2 linked regions of the Cricetulus griseus genome follow. The protein of the gene in region 1 interacts with the protein of each later gene in a pairwise test. Links are inferred from orthologs where the notes say so. Each region holds a gene or a part of one and is shown in the gene's direction. Other genes may lie near its edges.

What was found.
Region 2: the proteins of Mtus2 (region 1) and Fam110a interact in binary tests that used the Homo sapiens proteins (3 or more experiments, as listed by UniProt). The link is inferred for Cricetulus griseus from reciprocal best matches to the Homo sapiens genes MTUS2 and FAM110A.

Annotation. Positions count from the first base shown.
Region 1 is NC_048597.1:83,797,321-83,808,142, forward strand, and holds the start of Mtus2 (microtubule-associated tumor suppressor candidate 2), read left to right. Parts: upstream 1-4,634; 5' UTR 4,635-5,003; intron 5,004-6,264; 5' UTR 6,265-6,367; intron 6,368-10,822. UniProt on the Homo sapiens protein: Binds microtubules. Together with MAPRE1 may target the microtubule depolymerase KIF2C to the plus-end of microtubules. May regulate the dynamics of microtubules at their growing distal tip.
Region 2 is NC_048599.1:28,033,930-28,044,577, forward strand, and holds the start of Fam110a (protein FAM110A), read left to right. Parts: upstream 1-4,239; 5' UTR 4,240-4,453; intron 4,454-10,648.

The DNA of each region.
Region 1 (10,822 bases):
CAGCACCCTGGCCTCCAGCATCCTTTATTTCTGCTCTTCAGCCTTCGTGGGTACACAGGCTGATTTACCCTGGCCGCTACCTCATCTTTCTTCTCTTGGGCTTCAGCCTGCATGTTCTCTTGTTCCTTTACAGTGCAAGAGTTTCAAGGAAGAATGAGCCAAGGCAGAGAGCTCTGCCAGACTTTTCATGAAGAACCAGTGCTCCTCAAACTGATCTATAAAATAGAAATGGAAGGATCACTATCAGGCTCAGTTTGCAAAGCCAGTATTACTCCGATTCTGGCCCAGATAAAAACAAAAGAAAATGGCAGGCCAATATCTCTGGTGAACAGTTACAAAAATTCTCAATAACATCCTGACAAAACCAAATTCAACAACACATGGAAAAGATCATTTACTATGATCAAGTTGGCTTAATTCCTGGGAGGCAAAGATGGTTCAATACACAGAAATCAGTAACTATAACACATCACATAAACAGACTATTACATGACCAAATCAATAGATGGAGAAAAGCTTTTGACAAAGTCCAACATCACTTCATCATAAAATCTCCAAAGAATCTAGGAATAGAAAAGGTATACCTCAATATAATAAGAACTACATACAAGAAAATTACAGCTAGTGTTATATAAAATGGGGAAACATTCAAGTTTTCTACTAAAATTAAGAATGACACAAGGGATTGTAGTGGTGGTGAATGAATATATTAAGGACCATGATATACTTGAATGAAAACATGTTCACTAAATCTACCATTATATACAATGAATATAGGTCAATAAAATTATTATGCCCGTGTAATGAAACACTATGTAACCATTAGCATGTTTAAGTGCATTGTGTTGGTTAGTTTTAACTTCCAACTTGACACAATGTAGAATCACCTGAGTCTCAATTGCAGGAATGCCTACATGGTGTTTTGGTCTTTGGGCCTATTGGGGGGGGGTCTCTTGATTATTAATTGATGTAGGAAGAACCAGTCCATTGGGCTGCATCATTCTCTAGGCAGGGGTGCTTGAACTATACAGGACAAGAGAAAGCCAGATGATTTCAGGTAGACACATCATCAGGCTTGAGTGGATTTCCTTTTTTTCTGCTCTTGACTATGGAAGTGATAGGACTGCATTCTTTTTCTTTTTTTTTTTTAATATAGTGTAGTTTTTTTTTTTTTTTAAGATTTTTATTTTATTATGTATACAGTCTTCTGTCTGCAGGCCAGCAGAGGGCACCAGATCTCATTCAAGGTGGTTGTGAGCCACCATGTGGTTGCTGGGAATTGAGCTGAGGACCTCTGGAAGAGCACTCAGTGCTCTTAACCGCTGAGCCATCTCTCCAGCCCTAGCTAGGACTGTATTCTTAAGTTCCAGCTTTGACTTCTCAGTGATGGACCACTAAACCACAACAACAGAAAGGAAATGAGGGCAGGCAGTGTTTGGGGATACTCATTGAAAATGAACACATAATAGTTTATAATTATTGATTTTAACTGTCTAGAAATTCATATTTAAATATTGACTTAAAATATTTGAATTATAGATTTTCTCTCTAAGCATTTTGAACATTCATACCACTATAAGAATACTCAAGTCCTGACACACCGAGAATCTGACGTGAGCCATTTTAGTGTTGGTGGTGACCCCCTTGGGGGTGCTTACAACTCCCTGGTCTCTCATTTCTTTAAAGCCTTGTTTAAGGTGAAAGGGGATAGGAAGACAAAGTAGTTGGTTGTGAGGTTGCCTGGACATCCGCAAGGACAGCCAGCAGAAACTAGGATACCAGCTGTGGATGTACAGTTGACCCAGCAGCAAGTCCCCTTCTCTGGTCTCCCCACTTATGCCTAGATTAGCAGAGCCAGAGTTTTTCAATTTACTCCGAGTAGATTTATTGCATGCATTGACTACTGTTATGTGCCTGGTACTACACAAGGCATTAAATGAAGGTTAAACAGGACCTGGGTCGCATCACCATGCCGATGTCTGTCAGGAAGAAGGTAAGTAGATGTAAGTAAATTTCGCTAGTGGTGATTGCGCAGACAGCAATAATTTTAGATCCTTGGTGAGAGGATGTTTTAAAAAGCCCACTGATGAATAAGTTCCGTGGTTCTAGAGCAATCCAGGGCCAGAGCTGAGGACAGATGTTTCAGTGTCTGGATCCCCATGACTCACTGCATTCCAGAGAACCTGGGGCTGGAGGGTTGAGGAGACTCAGAGGAGAGGAAATAGATCAGAGAAAAACAATGCAACATAAAGGGTTGACTTATTCATAAATGCTAGGTTTTTTTTTTTTTTTTTGAAGATGAATGGAAATAATTTTACTTCGGAAGTGAAGTATGCCAATTTGCCTACAAATAGTTTATTCCTGCATTACAAAGAAATAGGGATGAATGGGACTATGTCAGGGCTTCTGGGAATCCAAGAATAGTTGAACAAGAGCGGCAGCCCAGCGAACAAGGACAGAGGCGGGGATGTAGGTGCATCCTTCAGCAGCTGTGTTGGACCTGGGTGAGCAGGGACTCAGTTCCGGTTGTCAGTTATCCTCTTCCTTGCACCGTTATTAGGAAGGTACATGAAATGGAGGTGGGAACTGTAAAAGACAAACGATAAGATGACTGGTAATTTTAGTTTTTTGTTTGTTTGTTTGTTTGTTTGTTTGTTTTTGTTTTAAATTGTGTATGAAGGCTTGCCTGAATGTATGTCTGTACACCACATGCATGCAATGCCAGAAGAGGCCAGAAGAGGGCATCATATCCCTTAGACCTGGAGTTACAGATGGTGGTGAGCTGCCATTTGGTTGCTGGGAAGCAAACCCAGGTCCTCTGCAAGAGCAGCCAGTGCTCTTAACCACTGAGCCATAGCTGTATCCCTGACCAGTCCTTTTTTTTTTTTTTTTAATAGACCAAAAGGAATTATATACGTCATATATAATCTGTGGTTAGAATAGCAGTTTTATTTTATTTTTTATTTTATTTATTTCATTTTTTATTTTTTTATTTCTCGAGACAGGGTTTCTCTGTGTAGCTTTGGAGCCTATCCTGGCACTCGCTCTGGAGACCAGGCTGGCCTCGAACTCACAGAAATCCTCCTGCTTCTGCCTCCCGAGTGCTGGGATTAAAGGCATGCGCCACCAATGCCCTGCTAGAATGGCAATTTTAACTGGAAAGTGCTCCACTTTCAAAAATAAAATGCTAGGCGCCTCTCCTCCCTTAAATCACTGACAGAAAACATGTTCTCTGTGGAGTGGTCTCATAATCTGAAAAGTCAATACATGCCATCTTTTGTATTTCAAATATTTATCTCACTGCACTAAGAAAGATGAGTAGAATAGCCAAAGGTCCATCAAGATGTAAATTAGTGAGCTGGAGCGATGGCTCGGCACGAACTAGTCAGGTATGTCTGAAGCAAGTGTTACTAGGAACTCATGTGCACTGAGGGAGGTGTACGGGTATGTGTTGAGGGTAGTGGGAGCAGAGGTCACAGCTGGGAATGCCAAGGCCTGACCAAGTGACACCAGGTGGAGTGAGGCATCATTGATACTCTGGCATGCTTGGCAGTCTTTCACATCCCCATCTTGTCAGGGGAGGGTAGAGCTGTCAGAGGTAAACTGAGTCTCAGAGAGCTTCTCCAGGTCACCTCCCCTTTCTCCAGGTCACGTCCCCTTTCAGATCTCCAGAGTCTGGAAAGAAGAAACTTCCATGAGAAAATATTTCCATGGGAAGGGCCAGTAGGCAAGTTTCAGCTACGTTTTCTTAATTAGTGGTGGATGTGAGAGGGCCAAGCCGATTTCGGGTGATGTCATCCCTGGTCCAGCAAGCCTTGGAGAGCAAGCCAGTAAGCATCATTCCTCTGTGGCCTCTGCTTTAGTTCCTGCCTTGACTTTCCTTTCTGATGGAGTGTAAACTGAAATAAGCCCTTTCTTCCCCAAGTTGTTTTTGGTCATGGGGTTTTATAAGAGCAAGAGAAACCTAAGAAAGACATGGAGCAGAGGGGATTGACCTGTGCCTGGAGCCTGGTAGCAGCAGGTATTAATTAGCTGGGCACAGCCGAAGGGGGAGGGCAGCAGGTCCGTGGTGCCCGCACTGGGACAAAATGAACAGGTTGCACATTGACCTGAGAGCTGGCAACAACCTCCAATAGAGAACATGGAGGCAGAGATGGCTTCAGGATAGGACTGGGAATCCGGGCTGACCTCAAGGGGAGAAGGGCTCTTTCTAGTGCAGAGATTAAAATAAACAGAAAATGTGAGCACTTGATTGCATAATTCCAATTGTATCTAGAATGGGTTTAAAGTGATGTTTAACAATAATTGGTACATAATTGTGCATATTATGACATTTAATAGACATATAGGTCAGCATGGTCACATGAAGGGAATGGCATACCCACAACCTTTGACATCATGTCTTTGTATTGGGATGTTGTACACCAATAACCTCCTAATTCAAACATTTGGTCAGGAGGGAGGCAACTTCAGACTCCGGAAGTAAACAAAACTTACAAGGCTTGTGAAGTTCCTGAAACTTACAAGATTCCCAAGGCTGTTACCCAAGGTTATCTAAGAAGTAACAAAGGCTGGTGGAAGGAGACTCTGAGCCTGCAGGTCATTCTGGGAGCTCCTGGGATGTAGCTCTTGCTTTTAAGATAAATAATAAAGCAATCGATCTTTTCCTTGTAACTGAAAAAATGCAGCCTGCCAGCAAAAGAACTGGCTGAGAAAAGTATCTTGCATGCTTAATCTATAAGAAGTTGCTTGGACATGAATGTGTGTGGGGTTTTGGAGATAATTTGTTTTTCACCTGTAATACATGATATAATCGTGTAAGGGAAATGGGAAACATGCTTTTTTTTTTTTTTTTTCTTTCTTGTATTCACTGCAGTTGTTCACTTGAAAAATAGAATGTCACCACAGTGTAATTTTTATACTGCTTGAAAGATTCTGACTGGGCAAATAAGCTGTAAGGGATATAAATTAAGAATACACAGAAGGGATACATCTGGATAGAGGTAAGAAAAGAAAGAGATAAAAGAGAGATATGATAGAAAGACTCTAAAGGGTGTGTGTGTGTGTTTGTGTGTGTGTGTGTGTTTTCCTTTTTCGCCAGCCCCAGGGAGTTAAGTTTGCCCCAATGACCAGCCCCCCAAAATTAAGTTTTACATCCTCAGATAGAAAAGTCAATTGTGTGATTAGTCTGCTCGATTTCATGGCTCCCCCTCAAATCCTGAGCTGCTGAAGGCTGGTCCTCATGGCAGCAACACAGCATGGAAACAGAAACAGATCCGGTTTTTTGTTTTGTTTTGTTTTTTGTTTTGGCATATTCAATTACCAATGTCAACCATAGTGTCTGTTGGGTTCCTGAATGTTCAGAGTTCTTCTATGCAACTGTACCTGTCAACCACCCCCTCCCCGTCCCTGTCCTTCCCTGATGCTCACTCCTGTCCCTTGGTAATCGTTCTACTTTCTGTTCTAGTGACCTGGAGTTTTTAGCTTCCACATGTATGAGTGGGTGTGCAGTGTTTGTTTTTCTGTGTCTGACACCTCACTTTATGGAATGCATTTGGGTTGATGTTTTGCTGTGGCTAGTTCCCGGATATGAGTGTCTTTTATAAGAATACAGACTTGACTGCAGGGTCATGGGTGGGGCTCAGGCATACGTGTTTTAAAAGAATGATCCCAGGATACTTATTATTGCATAGAGATACCTCCTGCCGATGGATGTCTGAGATTTCAAGATAGCAAGGTGTACTGGCTTGCTTTTCCGTTGCTGTGATAAAACACTGGCCAAAATCATCTTGGGAAGGAAAGGATTTATTTGGCTTACACTTCCAGGTTACAAACTGTCAGTAAGTGAAGTCAGGGCAGGAACTCTAGGGAGGTGCTCAAATAAACTCTGGAGAGGAATGCTGCTTGCTGACTCACTCTCTGACCCAGGCTCAGGCTCGGGCTCATGTTTATGTTTAGCTATCTTTCTATAGCATCCTTCATTCATCTGCCTAGGGATGGTACCACCCACAGTGGGCTAGGCCCTCTCACTTTAATCAACCAATCTGATTCAGGCAGTCCCTCAGTTGATGTTCCCTCTTTCCAGTTGAGTGTAGGTTGTATCAAATTGACAGCCAGGACAGAGGGTGAAGCCAATTTTTGGTCGGCTTGATAGTGTTTCTCAAATTATGCTGTGGTTCTACTCCATCAAACCTTGAGAGAAAATTTGTTTGAGGGTGGTAGGGTTCCACATATCATAACTTGTCTTTCTTTTCTCTGGTCCAGTGGGACTCCTGGGTGTCAATGAGCGTGCTTGGCTTAGAGTCATATGAATGTCACCTGCCTTACTTCCTTCTCTGACCCTGGGATACAGAAAATCCATCAGCAGGTATGCGTTAGCCTTCTTGCTATGTATCTAGTGACCATACACTTTGTGGCATAAAACCCTTCGCTATCTTATGTTCCCACAGTTGTGGAGTTCAGGCATGGCTTAGCTGGACCTGTTCCACAGGCCATAATGTGGCCATCAGCCAGGCTGGCTCTTAGATGGAGCTTGGAGCTCCTCCAGTGTTCCTGGTTGTTGGCAGAATCCACTTCCTTCTGGTTATACAACTTCTTATTTGTGATGGACTGTAGGTCTATAGGTCTGTAGGTCATTGGCAGTCTGCTATTACATGGCAGATGTGTCTGAGACCAATACAGACAGGCATTTTCTTTCTGTATCTCTCTGGGTAGCCCTTGCATTCATATAAGGTAGCTGAATGAAGAAAGTGATGTCCTGTCCTCTCTACAGAATGGCTGTGTATTAACCTGCTTAGGCTGCCACGACAAACTACCTTAGACCAGTCTGATTATTATATCTTTTTTTTTTTTTTTCACTTTAAAGGTGTGGGTAAGGGGGCCTAATCACTCTTCCAAGGTCCTGGTTGATAGGTTATCCAATTCCAAGTGGTCAACACTAAATACATGTACATATGAACAGTACTAAATGGATTGGGTTTGTGTGTGTATGTCTAATAATTAAAAAAGGTCATGAATTTGATAGTCAGTGGGGGAGAGGGGACATGGGAGAAGTTAGAGGGAGGTCAAAATGATGGAAATACAGTACTCATATATGAAATTCTCAGAAAAAGAAATGAAGTTAATTCGGGCAGTGGTGGTACACACCTTTAATCCCAGGACTCAGGAGGCAGAGGCAAGTGGATCTCTGTGAGTTCAAGGCCAGCCTGGTCTACAAAGTGAGTTCCAGAACAGCCTCCAAAACCACAGAGAAACCCTATCTGGAAAAACCAAAACCAAAACCAACGCCCCCCCCCCAAAAAAAAAACAAACAAAAAAAATGAAGTTAAAAACAATTCACAACCTCCCCAAACTGCACCAGGCTGGTATTCAAGCATTTCAACACATGAGCTTGTGAGGGACAATTTCATAGTTAATTTATAAAATTGTCACATCATAGCTATTGCTGCCTTATGCCATTTCAGAGTCTTAGGCTCAGCCAGTGAGGACCGGTTGGTGAACAATGAGCAACCTTCTTCCCAGGAAAGCAAATGCCTTTCTGGAAGCTCCCAGAAGATCATAGCTTAGCTTTCATGCATGTCAGGTAGAGATTTCGGTATATCCACAGACACTGACTTTGTTTCAGCAGAAAAACAAAGAATTTTCCTGGGAAGACATAGCATTCCCTCCAAGAGTGCTTTGTAGAAACAGCCTTGTTTGGTTGAGGTCGGTCTCACCATGTGGCTCAGGCTTCAAACTTGAAATCCTTTTGCCTCGGTCTCCAGAGCCCTGGGGTTTCAGGACTGTTATCACCACCCCTGGTTTAGTCGCAACCCCTTTAAAATTGGTGTTTGAAAGTTTGATGGCTGTGTATTCTTTTTTTTCTTTCTCAGATTTTTTAAAAAAATTGATTTAGAAACAAGATTGTTTTACATGACAATCCCAGTTCCCCTCTCCCTCCCGACCTCCCTAACTATCCCCCCAACTAAAACCCTACCTTTTCTCCTCCCCCTGGATGGTGAGACCTTCCATAGGGTGTCATCAGAGTCTATCATATCCTTCAGGATAGGGCCTAGGCCCACCCCCATGTGTCTTGGCTCAGGGAGTATTTCTCTATGTGGAATGGACTCCCAAAGTCCACACCTATGCTAGGGATAAGTACTGAACTACTACAGGAGGTCCCATAGATTTCTGAGGTTTCCTCACTGAAACCCATGTTCCTGGGGTCTGGATCAGTCCCATGCTGGTATTCCAGCTATCAGTCTGGGGAGCAAGAGTTCCCCGATGTTCAGGTCAGCTGTTTCTGTGGGTTTCACCAGCCTGGCCTGGACCCCTTTGCTATTTACTCATCCTTCTCTGCATCTGGATTCCAGTTCAGTTCAGTGATAAGTTGTGGGTATCTGCTTCTACTTCCACCAGCTGCTGGATGAGGGCTATCGGGTAGCATATAAGTCAGTCGTCAATCTCATTATCAGGGGAGGTCATTTAAGGTAGCCTCTCCTCTGTTGCTTAGATTGTTAGCTGGTGTCATCTTTGTAGATCTCCAGACATTTCCCTAGTGCCTGATTTCTCTGTAAACCTAAAATGTTTCCCTCTATTATGGTGTTAGACCCCCGAAAACTCAAGTATCCGGGGTCCCAGGCCACGTTCTCGGTCACCCCAATCACCAGGAGGATTCGAGAGCTTGCTGCAAACTGCACGAGGCTTTATTGTAATTTAACGAGCTAACCCCATGTTAGCTAGGGTCTTTCATCCACCCGCCAAGGCGGATGGCCAGAAAAGACGGCTCCTAGGGGCTCCTGAAAGATCTTACAGGGCAGCGTAAGGGGAGTGTCTAGGGGTACACACAGGCTCACGATTGGTGTGCCTCCAGGCTTGGAGGGTTTGCCCTGTGTTGATTGGTCAACTGGTTGTTATGGCCCATAGGCCCTCCCAGGGTGGTTGCTATACTCTCTACGTCATTGCTGTGCACTTGTCTGTAAAGCACACCCAGAGCCGTAAAGCATAGCGCCACCAGCTAACTTCTGATTGGTTCCTTGTCACGAGGCAGGCATCTGACTTTCTAGTGACTAACTTCTGATGGGTTCCTTGTCACGAGACAGGCATCTGACCTCTAAGTGACCAAGGCAGGTTTGTGGCAAGCACGTGTTTGGCTGTTATGGCTGCTGAAAGGGAAGCTGGTTCCTCACTTTGTTTACTCTTTTGCCAACTAAGTTTGAACTAGGGCGTCCTCCGGGTCCTTTCCAGCTTTCATGTCTTATGTTCTATCGGTCTTATCCTTACCAGTGTGTTAGGAGATGACCTGGCAGTAAACAGTGACATCACCACCACCCTCCGCCGCCACTACCACCACCATCATAATTATTTTGTAAACAGTGATATTATTAGCACGTTACCTTGGATAGCCAAATTGTATTCCATAATTGTTATGCCCGGCCCCAAGTGTTAAATCAATTACTGTAATTTCTCCTTAAGCATATACAGGTCAAGTAGAGTTTTTCATTTTAAAGACTAAGAGATGACAGACTGGTGGCTGCCATACAAAGGAAGGAGTGATTTCGTACTCTCTAGTGCCACTGCAGTGTAGAATCTTTGTCACTTTTGTAATACACATCAGATCCTGCTAGGTCATCACACCGTGACAGTTTTTGTCAATTAGGAAATGAGATAACTATTTAAAAGTTATCTCTGTTGTCCAGTCTGCCCGGGTCCTTAGGGTCAGGGCTTTAAAAAAAACGTTTTGATAAAAACAGAAGCCTAGGGACTTGGTGATAAAAATCTAAGCTTTTCCGGTCAAGAGGAAGAAGCAATCAGCATTTGCAGTTTAATTAGGAAGACACAAATTGAAGGAATGCAGAGTGTGGTCTCCCATTGAACATGAGTGATCAGCACACAGGAAGCCCTATGCGAAGTGCAGCTGTGGCTAATTAGCTACAGTAGATGGGCTAGACAATGAACCCCAGAGACAATGGTAACATGAGATGCAGGCACTCCGACTCACGTATGCCTGTCTATTGCGGTGATTCACAGTTCACGCCCACTGCTGTCTGTTTTCACATTGCACATGCAACTGCTAGGAACCAAGAGTACACTTGGACTCATTAAGAAAAAGAAAAAAAAAAATCACTGTTATTCTGATCCTCAGTCGCAACTGAGCTCTGCAAACAAGCAGAGTCACAAAGTGCCGGGCGGTTGTCTGCTGACCCCGGAATAAAATGATAAAAGCCCAGGCTGTGTAGCACAGTGACTGCAACAAAGTGCAGAGACAAACACAGGAGTCTCGGGTTCTGGTCTTCCCATTTTGGTTCGGCCACCACAAACGGTGTGACTTTAAGATGCTTTATTTCTCCCACAGAAGTGTGGCTCAGTCACTCTTAGAAGGGATTCCCTCCTCCCCCGTACACACAGCAGGGGTTAGGGAGGGGTGCACCCTCCTGGACCCCGATTAGGCACAAACCACACCCAAACACCTATTTTCACAGAGAGATTATTTATCAAGCATGGAAGAAAAGTAAAGTGGCTGATTTCTGACTTAGGCAGAACACAGCAGCGAATGATCTTACAGGTGTGATTTTTAAGAGGAAAACTGGGGGACCAAATATCCCTGTTATGGAATATTCTGGGTTCCAGGCCCTGGCCACATAAACAGAGGTGGCGCCAGGGAGCTCTGAGTGGCCATTGTATTGTTAATTAACTGTTTACCTGGCCTGAGGGTAATATGCCTCTTATTTGCATCTGTATGTGCCTCAGCATCTGAATAGGCCCTCACCTGGCCAGAAGTGCTGGTGGTAGGAGCGGAGAAGGGGAGGAACGAAGTGGGCGAGAAGGCCAGAGCTGGAGAGAG
Region 2 (10,648 bases), on another chromosome or scaffold:
TCAGATCTTTATCCTTTCCCTTCTTTCTGGAGTTGTATTCCCAGAACCTCAACATCTACCCTAATGGGCTGTGGGGGATGTCGGGCAGACTCCTCGTCTCTCCCTATTCTGGTCCTGCATGGACTTATTCAACTTCCCTGCATCGGAGCGTTCCCATTCTCAGTGGCCGTTGACTGCCACTCTAGTCACATTCTTACCTCCCAAATCTCCAACCACCAAGGCAGTCCTTTGTAGTCCAAGCTTCCTGCCTTGGTTGGTACATTGAGCCACCTGGTTGCTGCAGTACTCTCTGTGGACTTATCTCCAAACTCCTGGTCTACTTTTGATTTTTAGGTTTCTGTTATTTCTGGAGCTAGAGAGTTTCTCTACACCCAGGACCATTGCAAAGAGGCAACAGGATGCACCTCCCAATATGGAAATCAGTCTGCAAGACCCTTGGCCATGGAGAGAGCCCTTACTTTGGGCACCAGGTTGTAATAAATGGATCTGGGGTCTCAAGAAGATGAGCACATAACCCAGAGTACTCTAGCAAGTCAAAGTTTTGCTTTAGGGGAACGGGGCATTGCTCTTGCCCAGTGGTGCAGAGATGCCAGTAAGCACACCACTGCAGGTCCTCTGGGTTTTCATTGCTGACAAAGAGGGGTCCTGTGCCTCTCTCAGTGGTCAGAGTGTGGCCTCAGTTTCTTTTGTGACTGACTCATACAGAACAGCACAGTTTCTAGGCAGAAATGAAACTTGAACATGTATTCTGATTTCAAGAAGTGCTGGTTTTTGGAGGAATGTGAATTTCTGCCAAGTAGCTTCTATGTAATTTTTTAAATGGAATTTTGTCTAATTTAACCTTAGGTAGAAAAGACAGTGAAGTGGTTTTTTTTTTTTCATTTCCCATAAGAAGTTTGAAGTCCTGGATCTGTGTTTGATCCTACAGCGTCACCAGACCTTCCTCCCATCAGAGTATCAACCAGGACTGACCCTGATTAGCTTCTAAGACCAGATTGTCGTGTTGAGTATTAACATAGCCTTAGACTCCCCTGTGCCTTGCTGACACAAGTCTCTTCTGAATTGCTTGATGTATCATTAACCCCTTATTTGCTTGTCCTGGGCATATACACAGTAAGTGCTCTGTCAGTAACTCAATGACAGCGGCTGGAATGGAACAGAGGCCAGCATCAAGTAGAACAATGCAGACATAAACATAAATTGAGAACTACAATTAACTCAACTTATTCTAGCACCTTAAATGAATTTTTCTTGAGCTGGGGAAATCCCTCAGTGGGCAGGAGTACTTGCTGTATGAGTAGCTGATTTCAAATCTCCAGAACTCACATAAGCTATGTGTAACCATCTACCTGGGACCCCAGGCTGTGGCAGGGCAGAGACAGGAGGCTCAAAGGCACTTTCTGGCCACCAGCTGAGTCACAGGTTCAACAAGATGTCTTATCTCAAGAGAACAAGCTGGAGAGGGCCAGTGAGATGACCAGATTTAGATTTGAGCTTGATGAACCAGACTCTGATTCCTAGAACCTACAAGGTGGAAGGGAACTGACTCTAGCAAGTTGCCTTCTGCCCTCCACATGTGCACCGTGGCATGTGCTCATACACACATCACATGCACATGAACACACTCACAGAAACAAATGTAGAAACACGAACTAAAATTAAAAGAGAATAAAGTGAGAGGCAGAGGTAGGAGTTTAGAGTTACTGAGTTTGAGGCTAACCTGATCTACATGGTGAGCTCCAGGATAGCTAGGACTATGTAGGGACCCTATTACAGAGAGAGAGAGAGAGAGAGAGAGAGAGAGAGAGAGAGAGAGAGAGAGAGAGTAGAACACCCAAATTCCTCTTCTGGTCTCTGAGTACACATATGTATGAATACATGTATGAATACACCACAGACAAACAAAAATTAAAAAAATTTCCTTTGACAGTTCAAGAGTTGGAAACTTGCAAAATCCACAAAAGCATGAATAAGAATTTAAATGCTGCTAGGAAGCATTCTCCCTGAAGACCAGCTTTCATAGTGCCGGAAGTGCAGTGTTGGCTGCTGGGAGAGAAAAGACGTCAATAGTCTTACCCAGATATGGGTCCTCTGAGCTGTAGTAGTGACCGGCATAGCATGGGTGCAGTACTTGTGCAAATGCTATGGGAGTAGCCAACAGCTCTCTGGTCGGATTTCAGATGCGTTCCACAGGAGGATATGTATGCCTGGTATTGCAAATCTGGCCAAGATCCGTGGCTGTTGAGCTCACAGGCCCCCAGGGTGAACCTACAGCCATTATTCTGCTAAATGAACATAATATCAAACTGCCTTCTAAATTCATACCTCTATACCCATAAAATTAGCACAGCCTTCAGACCTCATCAGAGAAGCTTCTTTGTATAGTGAATGGCAGTAGAAATTCACAACTGGTCGAAGGGCAGAGAATAGGTGTCTGTGGAGTGTTCAGCCACAAACGTGAAATCTGTATCAAGAGGGAGCAGAAAGACTGTCAGAACCAGAGGTCGGAAAGAACTCTTCTGGACACTCCAGGACTGCCACACCTGTGGTCACGGCAGCTGGGTTGCCTGTACAAGATCAAGCCCTTAATATTTCAACACAGAGCAGGAAGGGGCTTATGAGCCCCCACTCCTAGCTGAGGAGCTTTTCACATTTGATGGCTTCTGGGGAAGGAAAGTCAGTTGCTTTGTAAAGGGTGCAGCCCTTGGTGGTTTGATCACAGCCCAGTGTATAGCTCTACACCCATGAATAGTTGGGCAGCAGATTGGACTTGGTGGGTTATAAAAAACAAAAGGAAAGGAAGGAGAGAATGAGGATGGATGTAGGAGGAGTTGGGGGGGAAAGTGGAGCAAATATGATCAAAATACATTGTATGTATGTATGTATGTATGTATGTATGACATTCTCAAAGAGTGAATGGAAGCATATTTAAATGCAAAAGAGTTAGCTGCTGTTTTGTAAATAGGAGATGCTTTTTGTATGAATAATATGGTTATGTATTTACTACCTATTCATGCTGTAAGGAGTGCTTTGAAACATGCTTAAAACATAACACTATGGGGCTGCAGAGATGGCTTAGTGTTTGAGAGCACTGGCTGCTCTTCCAGAGGACCTAGGTTCAGTTCCTAGCACCCACATGGCAGCTCATAACTGTCTGTAACTCTAGTTCCAGGGGATCCAACAGTTATATAGACATACATGCAGGCAAAACATCAATGCATATAAAATTAAAAATAAATAAAATTTAAAAATCCGGCAACACTTCCTAGCATTCCTCCATTATTTTAAAATGCTATTTAATTGCATCATTTTAAGTTACTGCATAATATTCCTAACCAGAAAAATGTAGATAGTTGAAGGTAGGTATTGATAAGATTTATGTAGAAAGATCAATTTAGCTTCTTCCCAGGATGGATATTATATACTGTAATTGGCCTGATTTTTTTTTTTTTTTCTGTTTTGGTTTTTTCGAGACAGGGTTTCTCTGTGGCTTTGGAGGTTGTTCTGGAACTAGCTCTTGTAGACCAGGCTGGTCTTGAACTCACAGAGATCCTCCTGCCTCTGCCTCCCGAGTGTTGGGATTAAAGGCGTGCGCCACCAACGCCCGGCTATTGGCCTGATTTTGATAAGCATTGTGGGAATTACTGGTGTGCACGTTTGAAAACTAACTGAATTACCATTGCAGTAGGGTAATGGAGAGGGAGAGGGGATCCTGGAAAACACAGAGAGGAAGCTGCAGAGTTGGGAGCAGGACCTAGGTTGGCTGCTGGGCAAGTAATACCAACTCGTCGGTACGCTGAGGCAGGCAGATAACAAGTTTGAGGGCTACTTGGACCACAGCGTGAATTTAAGGTCAGCTTGGGCAACTTAGTGAGACCCTGTCTCAAAAGAAAAAAGTGAAGAGAGGCCAGTATGTGCTAGCTATATGTCAAGGCCCTTCCTAAAAAAGAAAAAAAAAAAAATGGGACTAGGGCCGGTGCAAAACCAAACAAATCTGGGACTAGCAACTCCTGCAGGTGGGGACCGAGGGAATCCCAGCTGGACGAGAAGAAGAAGAAAGGGAACGCATTGGCCGGCAGGGCCGGGGCAGCCGGAAGGCCGCGCGGCCAGCTGGGCTCCTGGCGGCCACCGTGGGCCAGCCCCGCTCCCATCTGCTGCTCCTGAGGTTGCCTGGCAACTCGGGTGGCGCGCCGTTCGAACGGAAGCGAAGGGCCAATCAGGAAGTCCGGGGCGAACCATTGCAGCGACGGGGACCGCTCGCTCACTTCCCTTTCCTCCGGGCTCTGGGGACCTTCGTCCGGCAGGACGGTAGGACAGCCAAGGCCTGCCTCTCGGAAGAGCCCGCCTGTCTCAACACGCGACGGCCGCCTCAGAGCTCTGGGACCAAGCGCTCCAGCTGTCAGCCTCGGCAGCTCGCGAGAAGCGCGGGGGACCCTCCAGACACAGGCGGCAGGTGAGCATGGGGGTAAGGGGGCTCACAGGGTCTGGGGTAGGTCCACGCACCATTCGAGGCGAGTGTGCCAGCACAGAGGGCTGACCGAGGGTCCACGTCTATCTAGTGTCCAGCCCAGGGGGCCAGCGGAGGATCCGGCTGTTCCCCTGTCCCACCCTGCAGCCTCCACTCCAGGCAGATTTTCTTTGAGAGGTTCAGAGGGCCCCTGCTGGTCACTCTCAGGGGCTTGTTGAATGTGGCTTATGGGATCTCAGGGCTAGGCTACCTCTACCCCAACTGTCTTTGGAGTTTCCCTTCAGGACATATGGCCTTCCGTTCCTCAGGGACTCTGGCAACTTTTCTGCCTGAATGGTCCGGAATCCCAGTGCTGCCCTCTCAGAGGGCCTCCCTGGGGGGCAGGCTAGATTCCGGAGGACAGAAAATCCAAATGCCCTGGAAGTCATGTGGGCCTCTTGGGAGTCTGTTCCTGTGTGTGGTGTGTAGTGTGTGTGTGTGTGTGTGTGTGTGTGTGTGTGTGTGTGTGTGTGTGTGTACTTTGGTGTGTGTGTACTTTGTGTGTTGGAGGCGGGTGGATCAGCCTCTAAGCCAGAGTTGCTAGTCACTGGACTTTAGAGTTGGGTGCTGGGTAGGCCCTCCCAAATGGAGCATATAATTTAGGCTGCCTATGTTCCCCGCTCAGGTTGCTGTCTGTTGTTGATCTCTTTTCATAGATGGGGAAACTGAGGTTCTGAGAAGTTGAGCCCATTGCTCAAAGTCACAGTCTTACCTATTCAGAGAAGAACTGGATTTGATGGAGGGCCTCTTTTGTGGGGAACTGCTCATCCTCCACTCCTCATTCTGGCTCTGGGGGTAGTCTGTGTTTGCCTGTCTGTCCATGTGTCATCTCCTCCTACCCTGAGGGTCTTGTGTGGCCCAAGTTGGCTTCAGTCTTACTATGTATACTAGGCTGGTCTTGAACGTCCCCCTGAATCTGTCTTCTCTGATGACAAGCATGGGTCCCCACTACACCAGTTTTTTTGTCATTTTTAGGATGAAACCCAGGGCTTGGTGCGTGCTAAGCAAGCACTCTACCAACTGTGTTACACCCACTGAACATATACCTCCTGAGCCTACACCCCCTGCCTCATTTGTTCTTTCTACATTGTTTGGCTTCCTGTGGCCGCCTTGTTTTTCTCAGTAGTGTCTGTTCCACATTGTACACTAGGTGTCTTACTAGGCAGTTTATTGTCTTCTCCACTTGAATGTGTCAGACAGGTAAGATGCTTAGCACAGTCACAAAATGTCAGGGTGCCCGAAACTTCCAGAACCAAGATGATCAAAGCCAACGTCTGTTGGCCATTTGCTATGTTTTGTGCCAGGGGTGGAGCAGGGTAGGGTGATGTCAGCTCTGGCAGACTCTGGCAAGCACAGGCATGGATGTTACACACACACACACACACACACACACACACACACACACACACACACGCATTCTGCACCCTCCCACCCCATCCAGCTACCTCATTTTTAGGCAAAATGACAGGTGCTACATTGCGGCCATGGCTTGTTGCAAGCGGGAACTGGACAGATGCATAGTGGCCAGTAGGGGCTGATGAGAAATAACCGGAAACTCCTTAAGTACTGATGTGGCACCAAGAGGAACGTGGGTTACCCAGCAAAGGCGCTGAGTGAAAATGACACACACGACACACTTTGTAGTTTCGACCGTGGGACAGCTAATTCAGAAGCCACTAAGTAGACATGGTGATTACATCTCCAGAAAGCTATGAGGTCACTGCTCTGCCTGTGATTTGTCACTGGCTGTGTGACTTTGGGCAAGTTTCTTCACATTCTGAGCTGGGGATAAACACTGCATGTGAGCTCAGGCCTAGACAGGGTACTGTAGGACAGGAAATGGGCGTGGCCACAGGTCTAACTCAAGCCTTACCTTCCCAGCCTTTCCCTTCCTTCTCCCTCTTCCACTGTAAATCTGCCTTTGCTCCCATTTTGTCAGGGTGCAAACTGAGTCCCCAAAGTTTGAATTAGAGGAGGAGCATATATTGGGGGCGGGGGTCCGTAAAGACGCTCACTGTCCTAGGCATCCACACCCACTCATAACCCTCTCCCTGAGGTTCGTGCAAAGCCACTCTGAGCAAGGCTGCCTCATAGGCAGGCTGGGGCATGATCCTGGGGAAAACTCCAGAAATAGCTTGGAACCTGGCCTGCCCTGGAGAATGCCCAGTCGGGTGTCTCTGACCTGGACAGCTGGGCTGGCTCTACCCCACTGCCTGGAGCCTTCTTGATCCTCCTCAGCAGCAACTAAAGGCCTCCCTGTCTACCAAGCCTGAGCCAGGTTTCCTTTGAAAGGACAGAGGAGCAGGTGGGGTGGTGCAAAATGTCGTAAAAATGGTCAACCCTAGAAACCCACCTTCTTCGGGGAAGAAAGGAAGCAAAGGGAAGAGTGAACACACAGCTGCTTGGGCTCAGACCACTTGCAATGTACTCCGTATTTTACCATTCTGAGTTGCGATGTACCTCCACCCTATGAAGTGAGGGGCTTACTGCTTTTATTCCATGAACACATATTCCACATAACAGGCATGTGGAAGTCAGAGGACACACAGGAGTAGTTCTTATCTCCCAATGTGGGTTCGGTGGATTGAACCCAGATCTCCAGGCTTGTATGGCAAGCACTTTTACCCCAAGCCTATCTGATCCCATCTAACCACTTTGAAGTTTGCAGAAACTCCATACCCAATAAACAGTCACTTCCCACTCTCAAACTCACCCTGGCAAACACTACTCAACCTTGTTCCCAGTGTTTTGACTCTATATACATAGAAGCATGCCTTGCTGTATCCAGCTTATTGCACTTTGCCCGATGTCTTCCAAGTTTCATTCATGTTGTAAAGTATGTTAGTCTCCTCTCCCCTTTAAAGGCTGAATAATCTGTTGGATATGTGGTTTGTGTTTCTTTACCCATTCATTCATTGGTGGGTATTTGGATTACTCCCACCTTTTGGCTGTGGTGACTAATGCTGCTAGGGATTTAGTATGAGGGCTTTTGCTGGCATGCACACTCTAAGTCCTTTGAGATGAGTGTTTAGAGGTGTGATTTCTAGGTGCTGCTCTGGTCATTCGTTTAACCTACAAAGAACTGTCACGTGGTTTTTCACTATCAGCTGTGCACAGGGTTCTAAAGCCCAACCTCCTCATCAGCGCTTAATATCTTAATGTGTGTTTTGGATAGGACTTGCGCTAATGGGTGTGACACTGTGTGTTGCTGTTCATTGGCATTTCTTTAATGGTCCAGAGATGTGGAGCATATTTCTTTACATTCATTGGCTTCATTGGCTCTCTAGCTTTTGCATGCGTGTGTGGTGTGTGTGTGTATGTGTGTGTCTGTGTATGTGTCTGTGTGGGGCTAGGCTGGCTTCATGACCCTCCTGCCTCAGCCTCCTGAGTGCTGAGATTAAGGTATGTGCCACCAGGCCCAGCTTCTTTTTCTTCTTTGTGGAAGGTACTGCTTCAAGTGACTGAACTTTCAATTGTCACCACACTGCTGTTCTTGTCCCTGCAGTGTGATGGTGGAGGCCTTCCTCAGAGCTGGGCCTTGGAGGATCTACATGTCCAGCTATCATCACAGCTTTCATTTTGATGGCAGTTGTCTCGCCTTGGGCCTGTTTTATAGTGGGGGAAGCAAGTATGGAGAAGTTCCCTGCAGCAGAGGTGTATGGGTGGGCCAGAGCCCTGAAGATTTTGACTTGGCATCTTTGGGGGAAGAACAAGGCTTGGCTGGAAGTGGCCAAGCTGGAACAGGGTGAGGGGAGGATGGCCGGGGAGTGAGTGTGGAAAGGACAACAGTAACGTGGCCTAGGGGAGACTTGGCACTCATGGACCCTGCCATCCCCCAGCTAATTATTAGCTACAAAGGGGAAATGACCAGTGTGTCAGCTGATCACCAAGATCTTGTCAGCTGCTCCTAGGAGGGAGGCGTGCTAGAGACACAGGGACATTTCTGTGCTCCTTCCGTACTGTGTCCCTCCCTTCCTCCTCCTTCCTTGTCTCCATCCCCTCCCCCTCTTTCCTTCCTTTGGAAATTGGAGTGTGATTGACATACAGAAAGCTGTGTGTGTTTGATGTGTATATCTTGATGCTGGCCTGGGCCTTCTTCAGCCTCTTGGTCAGTGATGTTTCCTCGAATTTGTTCCAGGGAAGAAGAAAAGACAGCAGAGTAGTGTGGCTCAGTTCAGTGGGCAGCCAGGAAACAAATGACAAAGGTGCTTTAAGGAGAAGAGACCCCCCCAGGGTAGAAAGGGAGGGCTGGCAGAGGAGGTCACATTTGAAATGAGGCTTGAAGACCAGCGAGGGACAGGGTTCTACACGGTGAGCAGCTGGTGCAAAGGCCCCGGGGCGGCAAAGACCTTTGTAAAGGACTAGTCAGGAGGATTCTGTGGCTGGTCTGGGAATGGCAGTGTGGATGAGGTGGCAAAGCTGGGTAAAGACCAGAGGGCCACGCTGGGGGCTGGAATTTATCCCTGGGAGGGTATAAGGGTCAAGCCCAGCAGTCGTGAGGTGTGGATCTGCTAGGAAAACACTGTCATTATCATCTCATATTATAGCTGAGGAAGCTGCAGCCCAAAACACATGTTTCCATAGGTGGCAGATTCCTGTGGAGCCCAGGCAAGGTGGCTGAGGGCTTTTATGGAATTTCCCAGGAGGCACTTTCTGTCTCTGGCCTCTCTCCCTACCAGATCCAAGCCTGGGTTCAAATCCTGGTTCTGTCATTTGCTGGCTGTGTGATCTCTATGCCTTAGTTTTCTCATCTGTGGAATGGACACAATAGCAGTATCTACCTCACAGACAGGTATAAGAATGGAATGAGTTCACATATAATATGCATGGCAGTGCATACATGTAATCCCAGAAGGAGAATGGAGAGTTCCAGACCTGGACGATACTGCAAGACCCTGTTTAAAACAAACACCCATCCTGTTTAAAACAAACACCCTGTTTAAAACAAACACCAATGGCAGCAACGACAACAACAACAACAACAACAAAAGCTTCGAATCGTCTCTGCTTCTAAAGAAATATGCTGGGATGACCAGGGCTTCTCCTTGACAAGTGCTTCTGTCTTTGTAGTTTCCACTGTTAGTGCCTGAGGCCAGCTGTAAGTCTGTTCCTTTGTTATCGCAGCCAGGTCAGGCAGTGAGCTGGTCAGGCCACTGTGGGTGACTTGCCCCCCATCCTGTAATATACAGGACTAGAGGGGGCTTCAATGCTCCAAGGGAAGGAAAGTGGACAGGAACCACTTACTGTCTCCCCCTGCCCCACCCTAGCCCTGACTCAGCCTCCACCTGGGTGCAGGGTTGCTTTGCCAGTGCTAGGGTCTGAGGCCTGGTGGGTATCTCCTTTCCCTGGACCTCACAATACCCTGGAAAGTGACAGAAGCCTTGAACTGGCAGAGGGGACAGTTGGAGCCCTCCCAGGGCCTCCCAGGGACAACCCCCACCACCAGCAGGGTTGCAGTCTCCTCTGTGAAATATGGGTTTCCCCATGAGGAGAGAAATATTCGCCCTCCTCATGGCCTGGCTCTTCAAGGGGTAAATGGACCATCTCATACCACTGCACTGTGGCTGTCCCTCTTGATCCTTAAAGCTGCCACAAAGCTATAGCCAGCAACCTCAGGCCTTGAGCACTCACAGTAGGCTGTCCCCTAAGGTCCTACTCTTCTCATTCATGGGGCTGAGGCCCAGCCACCTGCTGGCACACAGGGGAATAGGGTGGCAATAAGGAGTGGTGGGAGGGAAAGTACCCAGGTTGGACTCCCCCATTGATTTTGGGCAAGTGACTCAGCCTGGCCTGTCTGGGGTTTCCATTAGTCAACTTGGATGACAATGAAGTTGCCTCATAGGAAGGCTACCCAGAGCATACTAGTTCTCCCTGTGCCCCGTTTAACCACGGGAAGATTAAATGTTAAGGGAGAGCACTTTCCCGTGCCTGGCAATGGACATCCACTAGCATCCCGCGCAATGCGACCTGACGTGCTGCCGGCTGTGCAGGCTCCAGCTCGGATAAAAACCAGGTCGGGCGAGACTAGGGCCGCGGCTCCGGCCAAGCTGCCGCACCCGGCTGTCAGTCAACCATTGCGGCCACTGCCTGGCCCTCCTTCCCTCTCCTGGAACACTCGGGGCCGGCGGGTTCACCTGCCAA